2 linked regions of the Yarrowia lipolytica genome follow. The protein of the gene in region 1 binds, or shares a complex with, the protein of each later gene. Links are inferred from orthologs where the notes say so. Each region holds a gene or a part of one and is shown on either strand. Other genes may lie near its edges.

Region 1 (4,754 bases):
ATTACATGTTTTCATAGTCCTCGTTTCCAGCTACATTTCTATACAACTTTTACTTCTTCACCACCTCTGCAACATTGGATTTGAACCCCCAGTAACTTTTTCCTTTAACAAATTCCCAACTATAACTAATCCAACTAGCCTCGTTAATTGTATGCTTCCATCTCGCTCAATAATACTCGGATTGCCACCACGAGAGTTGCTTTCGCTTCGGAATCGTCCGCTCTCTAAAATGGGCCCTTCTCCGATGTCTGCACATTTTCCCGGGACTATGTGCGCCGTATCGTTTGCTCTCGCGCTCGCATCCGTCGTTTCCCAGCAACGATAAGCCCGATATTAAAAACAGACCTAATCTGATGCGCATAAAATAGACTCTGGGGATCCTGTGACTGGAGTGTCCGGATCAGACGGCAGGAAGATACGTCTTTGGAGATTGCGGAGAGACGTCCAAGTCATGTGACACGCGGAGGGGGGGAGGGGGAGAATTGGGTCACGTGACCGGCCCCATGGTCGCCCTCTTTGCCTTTTTTCTGTCTCTTTTTTTGGTCCTTTTTCCGGCTCACGACACCGTGGCTTTCGGTGACGTAATCAGAGTCTAAAATGCACCTCATGTTCTGATAAAGACTCTGATAGCAGATAATGTAGGCTGTGCGTTTGGGGGGAGACTTGAGGGGTTACCTTATATATGGCTAAAAAAATCGGGGGCAAAAAAGCATTAAAATAATGAAAAAGGGCCTAAAAATATTTTATAAATATTTTTAAAAAAAACCGCTAGTAAATTCGAAACGCCGCTGGTAAATTCGAAACGCCGCTGGTAGATTCGGCTAGGGAAACTCCCCCCGGACATTCTTTTTCTGCCAATTTCCCGCAATTTCCCCTTTCAATCTCGCCATTCCACCTTCCCTTATGAGTCATGTCTGTCACTGGTGCTACAAGTAGTGCAAGTACTGTACGTACATACTGTACATAGATTGTAGTAGGTGGATACCGACAGTGACGGATACTGGGTGGATACTGGGTTGTTGGCGGGAAATGGGTCTGCTGCAATCAAACTGTTTATGAGTCACACATGCTTCTTCGTCTCCCTTTCTCTCTCTCTTTCCCGCTCCAGTCTATACGCCATGTGGGTAAATAACTCGACGCCACCTGCTCCTGTAGCTCCTGTCATACTGCCCCTTATAGAGACGTTGTATCTTAACGTTATCAGAGGTGATTTCTCATGCAAGGGTTTGGTTTGATTACCGGCGCGGGCGGGCGCGAGCTGGGCGGTGGCCACGTTTTGTGTCTGGTTGGCGGGCAGTGGTACCGGGTCAGCAGACGGGTTTGGCAAGTAGCGGCGGTTTGCGGTAGCAGGGAGGCAGTATCACGAGACTGGCTCCGTTCACGTGACAATCCCTCGTAGTGCGTCTGGGCTGCAAGGCCATGTTGATGTGGGCCTGAAAGTAGGTTGACTGGCCAAACCTCCTACTATTATTCTGGTTATTGACTCACTCGGAGCAACTGCCCTGTGACGAGACCGCCGGCCGTTTTTTTCTTCTCTTCTTTGCGAGTGGCACAAACAGACGGACACAAACAGACCGACACACGCCGCTGACACCAGACACACTCTTCTGTGGCGTCACCTCCAGACCGGTGACACACACACAAGCACAACTGCGGACACGAACACGGACACAAACAGCACAAACAGCTCAAACAGCTCAAACAGCTCAAACAGCTCAGCAGAAGAGCTCACCACAAACACCACAAACACCACAAACAGCTCAGCACAAACAACACACCACACCACAAACGCATTCTGGTGTCCAGACAACAGCTGCTAGACACAACAGCACTCACAAGTCGTAGACACAACCAGCATGTCGTTCCAAGGCACGTCGTCCGGGTCGTCGCACTCATCCAAGTCGAAACTCAACCAGGTGGTGCAAAACTTTTTCTCCAAGGCCACCCAGGTGGTGGTGCAGGCGCGTCTCAACCCCCGGCTGCGTGAACAGCGCCAGAGCGGCGACAAACACAAACTCAACAAATGGTTCAATCTCGAAACAGACGAGCTGGAGGCCTACCGTGAAGATCTCAAGCTGTGGCGAACCATCGACATCTACAACATGGACAAGATGCCTCCCGTGGTCGTGGAGACCTATCTGGACATGCGCCATCTTTCGCCCAACCAGACGCTGGTGCTAGAAGACGCCTTTGGCAAACGGTGGAACGCCAGCTTTGGAGGAAGGAAAACAGAGGTGGTGCTGGAGCGGTGGGTCATTGAGATTCAGAGACCCGACCCCCAAGCAGGAGGAGCTACAACGTCCCCAGCGTCGTCCACAGAGCTCCCCATGGCCTACAAAAAGTGCATCTTGCTGTTCCGCTCTCTGTACACTTATTGTAGGCTGCTGCCAGCGTGGACGCTGCAAAAGCGGCTTAGCAAAAGCAAACTGAGCACCAGTCCGCTGCGCATCGGCTGCAGGGTGCTTAACGGCTCACAGCCCATCTCTTCGCGTGGGCGGGTTGGCTTGAGCAAACTCATAGCTGGGAGCTCCGAATCCCAGCATCTCCAGACCTTTTCGTTCGACCCCGTGGAAATCCCCTCGGGCGTCTTCAAGATCAGCGTGAGCTACCGGGTCAACTGCAACTTTGCCGTGGACGACTCGGAGGCCATGCTGTCATCACAGTTCCTGCGCATCGACGAGGAGAAGCCCGTGGTGCCCCCCAGCCCGCCGGTCAAACACCCCTCCATGGCGGCCCCCAACTTGCATTACATCACGGGCCTGCCACGGAGACATTCGCATTCTCAGGGCGTGGGAGTGAGTGGGGCGGCCATTGTTCCCACCTCTGTGTCATCTGTCACAGACTACATGGAGAGGAGAAGGAGCAGTGGCGCTAGTGGAGTTGGAGCAACTGGAGGGGGTCTTGCTGGCACCTCTGGAGGCTCTGGCGGAGTGAGTGGAGGAGTTAGCGGCGGATCTGGAGGCTCAGGGGGCTCTGGTGGCTGGGGAGGTGAAGAGGGCTCGCCTGGTCCCGCAGCGACCTCGGCTAGCCCCTCCACACCTCCCTTTGCGCGTGTCCCCTCATCCTCCTCCCTTGCGGCGCTCCGAATCCCCCGCAGAACTATCTCAAACTCGTCCACGTCCTCCACCAATAACGCACGGGTGGTCACCACGCCTGGGTACACGCCTTCGGCGTACGAACAGGCGATTTCGTCGTCCGGAGGGTCGTCACGTTCCGGGTCCGTGCCCAAGTACTCGTCATCGTTCGGTACAAGACAGTGGAACCGTTCAGGCTCGATCAGCAGCACGCGGCGTCGAAACTCAATGCTGGTGGGCTCGGCTGAGTCGGCCATGTCTTCGGGCTCCTCTCTTATGGAACCTGGATCGGGTTTTATCGACATTGAGGATCCCACCGACGTGTCCGACTTTGTCAAGATGGTGGACTCGATCAAACCCGGGTCCCCGTACTCGCTGCCGTCTCCCCGCAAGGGCAGCGATCCTTTGGCGCGGTTCCAGCAGCTCAAGGGATCGCACGCGGGTATTGCCGACAGCATCACGTCATCAATCTACCACCACCAGCCCAGTCCTCCGTACGTGCGGTCCAAACTGAGCGGCGAGGCGAACCTGGAGGCGATTTCAAGCCTTCCCCGGCCCGTGACGGTGCCTCCATCGCCTCGCAAGCTAGAGACGCAGATGCAGCCCATTTCGCTGGCGGACCAGCATACCAGCGAGTACCATCAGCTGCAGCAGCGGACCAGTGCCCGTCCCCAGGCTCATTCGTACTCTGAGCGTGACCAGCTTGATAACTCTCATTACAAGGCGTTGGAGCGATATGATCTTGTAGGAGCTTCTCCAAGCGTGGTGGGCTCTAGATATTATACCGAGCACGACCGGGGACGAGGCGAGAAGCGATACTCGGTGGCTCCATTGCCGGGTCTAGAGTTTGACGAGGACGATGATTTGTTGTTTGCCATGAGTGATATGGCTATGGGGGATTCGGCTTCTGGAGGAAATGTGAGGACATAGTCTTGTGTTTCCGAGCACACCTCCTAAAAGATGATGGCATACACTACCAGAGTACCAACACCAGCAGAGGACATAACTTATATCAATGACACATACTTATTATATTTATACGATTTACAGAAGGGAGATATGCCACAAGTGTAGGCAGTACATACTGTACTCGTAGGAAGACCTTGAAGGGCACTGACCCCTGAACTAGCAACGACCCATATCGGCACCCATGACTCAAAATGGGTATCATTATTATCCGACTGCGGGGGGCTCTGTACTAATATATGTAACTAGCTGTTTTCTTGTCTACACCATCAGTTGTTGACATTTCTTTATCCTACGTCACGTGAACATATCACCACCACGGAAGGTTTCGGGGCCATATGGGGAAAACGGGACGGCACTTTGTCGTTTCATTGGTACGGATATTTGTTGATATTTTTACATTGAAATACTTTCCCGACTCAGGGCTATCTTTTGGTGTAAAAAGTTGTTTGGTGGCATGTATATTGGGTAAACTGACTTCACCAGTCTCAGAGATGAGTGTAGGTCTGCTTTTTCGATACCAACGAGGAGGGGAATCACGTGAGCAGAGCAGAGCAGCCACCATTTTTACAGTCTTATTCCAGTGCTGCATCACTGTAGACACTCTTTCAGGAGACTCTGATTTTATCTGCTATTTTTCCACATTTTTTCCGATTTTCGGCCGGATATTTCACGCTTCCGATACGCCTGCATTAGGCTGCATGATATCGCAGA
Region 2 (4,391 bases), on another chromosome or scaffold:
AACTCCTCACCCGACTTTTTAGAACGATTCCATGCTGCCAACTTTACATTTCTCTACCAACGAGTCTACTGCCCCGAGGCTCGTAGGCTGGTACATTTGAATGAGCCTGAAGATGAGCTGGACGAAAAGGTCGACTTTCACATTGGCGCCGAGATTCCACAAGGTCTGGCGCGAGCAATAGCCACTGGACTGGTGCACCCTCGAACTCATAAGACTTTTCCTGCCAACAAGACAGCCAAGCCTACCGATCTACGGGGATTCTTTGCGCCCAAAAATGAGTACACAGGCGATGTCAAGCGACTTCCCGAACAGCTGCGCCGCAAGAAGCCCGTTGTTCTGGTGGCAAAGCCGGTTGACCTGGCTGTGCGAACAGCTTCTGCGGAGAACATGTTGAGTCCAACCCGAACGAAGACGTCCCCCGCGCTTACTTCCAGTCACTTTTTCTCCATCCCTTCGAGTCCCGATCAGGCTGAGAAGGAGAACAAGCCCTTCAACTTCAATACCATGTTGAGTTCAGAGCCTGACCGAAGCGACGATGACATTGAAGAAAGCAGCATCGTGTTTGGCACCCCAAACAAAGACACCACGCTACCGCAGACACCTGTGACTTGTGCCAAGCGGAAGTCTACTCTGTTTGAGGAGTTTGGATACAATGCCTCTACGCCCAAGCGTCGAGTAGTGACTCCTACAGGCTCCTCTGGTGTTGCCAAAAAGCCCACAATCACGCCCACAATCACGCCCAGTTCCACACCGCAAGCGCGTCCCAAGAAGAGCGCCATTTCTCCTCTGACCGTGCAGCGTGTTCCTGGCTCGTCTCAAAGCAATCTCATGAGATTTGCTTACAAGGCCAACTAACCTACAAGTACTAAGCTTCAGGGTTCTAGTTGACCATGCAGCATTACAGCAGCAAGCGCTGATAATCCCACGGGCTTGCTGCGCCCGATATTTAACTAATTTACATGGTCCAATTACAAGGGCCCGACGTTGATTGCAGTCTGAAATAGCAATCTGATTTCCTCCCCCAACGATGGCAGCCCCAAGAGACTCCCTAGCCTTGATTTCTGCTGGTGAACCGGTGCACCGGGGCTTTTGCAGTAGAGTATACACTGGGCACTGTAGAGTATGTCGTGCTTAGACGACGATATACGAGACGCGGTAGGGTGACTGTAGGAGGCATAGATTAGTTGACTTGGAGCGGGTTGCGGGTGTTCCAAACATGTGTTTTCGGTGTTTCCAACGCCGTATATGCGTTGCATGTAACCCCAGGCTCTCTTGACGGCTATTTTGCTTCCAGTGTACCGTCTGACCAATTATCACCATTTGCCCCTTAGTTCGTTAGTTCAGAGGGTGCGTGTACTAACAAACCCCGTTTGGGAAGCGAGGCTCAGAATCTCAAAGTATAATTGCCGGCAAAATTACCAATCTGACACACGCCAAAAAAAGAAGAGCCAAAGGTAGAGCGGGAGGGAAGCGTCAAGAGAAAGAGAGAAAGGTGCTGGTATGTCGCTGCCGGATCGGGGCAAGGGTCTCACACCTGTCACGTTGCTATGTAGGCTCCTATTACGTGGATTATGTCGCCCCTATATTGGTATTGTTGCACCGGACTTGTGCATCATAGCTCCCACCGCCGCCCTTCCTCCCCCCCGTTTTACCTCAATTTAGGTGCACTGTGCAACCCTTCTCACACACCCCTCCCACACAAAGTCTACTGCACTTTCGACGACTACACACACCACACTCTCTTGTAGCAACACAAGACCGCCGTCACACCACCACAAACGTCGACATCTCGAAAGCCTAGTTGGTCCATATCCCGGTGAAGCGACAGATTGGATACTTGACCGCCATTAATATACACACGTCTTCTGATTACCTCGACTAATAGCTAAGATGGGTGTTTGTGCGAGCTGCTGTTCAGGTGAGTATGGTACACAGACAGAGAGCGGGTCTTGCAAGGGCGAAGATGGCAGCAAGTGCTGCAGACAGAATGGGGCGACAGCGTATGTCTGGTCTCTCTTGTTCAGCTCCCCCCCGCCCCACAGTCGTCACTAACCCAGGAAACAAACAGGACGGCAACTACGCGCCCGTGCTGGCCGAGGACGAACGGGAAGCCGTGGCTCTCCTGCTGCGATACCTCGAGAACCGAGGCGAAGTGGACTTTTTCTCCAACGGGCCCCTCCGAGCCCTCAGCACTCTGGTCTACTCGGACAACATTGACCTGCAGCGAAGTGCCGCCCTCGCATTTGCAGAAATTACAGAGAAGGACATCCGGCCCGTCAACCGAGACTGCCTCGAGCCCGTGCTGCTGCTGTTGCAAAACACCGACCCCGACATCCAGCGAGCAGCCTCTGCTGCCCTGGGCAACCTCGCCGTCAACAACGAAAACAAGGTGCTGATCGTCGAGATGGGCGGCTTCGAGCCCCTCATCCGACAGATGATGTCGCCCAACGTGGAGGTGCAGTGCAACGCCGTGGGATGCATAACCAACCTGGCGACCCACGAGGCCAACAAATCCAAGATTGCTCGCTCCGGCGCTCTGCTGCCACTCACCAAGCTCGCCAAGTCTAAGGACATGCGAGTCCAGCGAAACGCCACTGGTGCCCTTCTCAACATGACCCACTCGGACCAGAATCGACAGGAGCTGGTCAACGCCGGCGCCATCCCCATTCTGGTGTCATTGCTGTCGTCGCGAGACCCCGATGTGCAGTACTATTCGACCACCGCTCTTTCCAACATTGCTGTGGACGAGTCCAACCGAAAGAAGCTGTCTAGCTCGGAGCCCCGGCTGGTGGAGCATCTCATCAAGCTGATGGACTCCGGCTCTCCTCGGGTCCAGTGCCAGGCTGCTCTTGCTCTGCGAAACCTCGCCAGCGACTCCGACTACCAGCTGGAGATTGTCAAGGCCAACGGCCTCCCCCACCTGTTTAACTTATTCCAATCCACTCACACGCCGCTGGTTCTTGCGGCCGTCGCTTGCATCCGAAACATCTCCATCCACCCTCTCAACGAGACCCCCATCATTGAGGCCGGCTTCCTTAAGACGCTGGTGGAGCTGCTGGGCGCTAGCGACAACGAGGAGATTCAGTGCCACACAATCTCCACCTTACGAAATCTCGCTGCCAGCTCTGAGCGGAACAAGCTGGAGATTGTCGAGGCCGGCGCCGTGCAGAAGTGCAAGGAGCTAGTGCTGGACGCTCCTCGACTGGTCCAGAGCGAGATGACTGCATGCTTGGCTGTGCTCGCTCTCGGAGACGAGCTCAAGGGTACATTGCTGGAGCTGGGAATCGCTGAGGTTCTGATTCCCCTCACCTTGTCGGACAACATTGAGGTGCAGGGCAACAGTGCCGCTGCGCTTGGCAACCTGTCTTCCAAGGTGGGCAACTACGACACGTTTGTCAACCACTGGAACGAGCCCAGCGGAGGAATCCGGGAGTTTTTGATCCGGTTCCTCACCAGCGGCGACTCTACGTTTGGCCACATTGCCGTGTGGACCGTGCTGCAGCTGCTGGAGTCCAAGGACCAGCGTCTTAAGGATCTGCTCAAGAACTCCAATGAGATTGTCGATGCCATCCACCAGCTATCCAGCATGAACTCTGATGGGGCTGACGGCGATGGAGAGGACATGCGGGATTCCAAGAGCGAGGTTGTCATGTTGGCTAAAAAGGTGGCTCCTTTGCTCAAATAGTAGGATGCGATGATTTATTATATATGGAGAAGGAAGACAACTAATGTATTTGTAATCGGCACTTGGAGTTGTAGATACTGTAGTTTCCATCGTCATATCTCCTTGGAGATAACACAAACTTTGTTATCGGTGTTACCTGTAATAGGCACAATGTAACCTTGTTCATTCACATGAGTGGATGAATAAAAGTGGAGGTGGTGACCTACAATTGTAGATGGATGACAATCTTAATGGGCCGGCTTCATAGACCAGTGGGGCCGTTGAGGGTGCAAACCGTGTTTTGATAGAGTGGAAAAAGCAACAATCGGGTGAGATTAAAGGTCACGTGTCCTCTTCCTGTTGGTCCGTCGGTCACTCTATGCTGTGTGTCCTCCGAAATGCTCCTGTTGTAGGCTGTGGTACACCCCCCTAGCACAGCCCCTTTAAACTCGGTCACCGTGCATAGATAGCTCCGATATAAGCATGCTCCCACGGGGAAAACAAGCCCACTACACCGACTTGAAAATTGGAACCGGAAGCGAAAAAACAAACCAACCATATCAAAACAGACAGCTATAGTTATGGATGGATCTGAAGCGAGCATACGGCACATGGAGACGACCGCGAGCGGGGCCATGGAGGACGGCGAAAAGGCGGCGTTGAACACGAGCTCGGAGCCCAGTCGCAACCCCTTTCGCCAGTCTCTGTCTACCGAGCCTCACTTGAT

What was found.
Region 2: the proteins of YALI1_F04848g (region 1) and YALI1_E17037g are in contact, whole or in part, in a crystal structure (PDB 6KBM), measured with the Saccharomyces cerevisiae proteins. The link is inferred for Yarrowia lipolytica from reciprocal best matches to the Saccharomyces cerevisiae genes ATG13 and VAC8. Residues at the interface, in NP_015511.1 of Saccharomyces cerevisiae: Arg661, Ile662, Pro663, Ile664, Arg665, Gln666, His669, Tyr670, Ser671, Gln672, Pro673, Thr674, Thr675, Ala676, Phe678, Gln679, Ala680, Gln681, Ala682, Lys683, Phe684, His685; in NP_010903.3 of Saccharomyces cerevisiae: Val103, Ala107, Gly110, Asn111, Cys144, Asn145, Gly148, Cys149, Thr151, Asn152, Thr155, Lys160, Arg182, Asn186, Gly189, Leu192, Asn193, Thr195, His196, Arg201, Tyr226, Tyr227, Thr230, Ser233, Asn234, Val237, Arg242, Gln270, Arg276, Asn277.

The regions. Positions count from the first base shown.
Region 1 is NC_090775.1:481,951-486,704, reverse strand, and holds YALI1_F04848g (uncharacterized protein), read left to right. Parts: upstream 1-1,856; coding exon 1,857-4,004; downstream 4,005-4,754. Other genes in the region: YALI1_F04860g (uncharacterized protein), read right to left, coding at 346-531, 582-608; YALI1_F04855g (uncharacterized protein), read right to left, coding at 769-1,011, 1,067-1,165; YALI1_F04849g (uncharacterized protein), read right to left, coding at 1,477-1,687, 1,733-1,794. UniProt on the Saccharomyces cerevisiae protein: Activates the ATG1 kinase in a nutritional condition dependent manner through the TOR pathway, leading to autophagy. Required for autophosphorylation of ATG1 at 'Thr-226' and its dimerization. May also be involved in the regulation of autophagy through SNF1.
Region 2 is NC_090774.1:1,701,301-1,705,691, reverse strand, and holds YALI1_E17037g (uncharacterized protein), read left to right. Parts: upstream 1-1,924; coding exon 1,925-3,685; downstream 3,686-4,391. Other genes in the region: YALI1_E17065g (uncharacterized protein), read left to right, coding at 1-855; YALI1_E17014g (uncharacterized protein), read left to right, coding at 4,246-4,391. UniProt on the Saccharomyces cerevisiae protein: Functions in both vacuole inheritance and protein targeting from the cytoplasm to vacuole (cvt). Involved in the formation of nucleus-vacuole junctions (NVJs) during piecemeal microautophagy of the nucleus (PMN).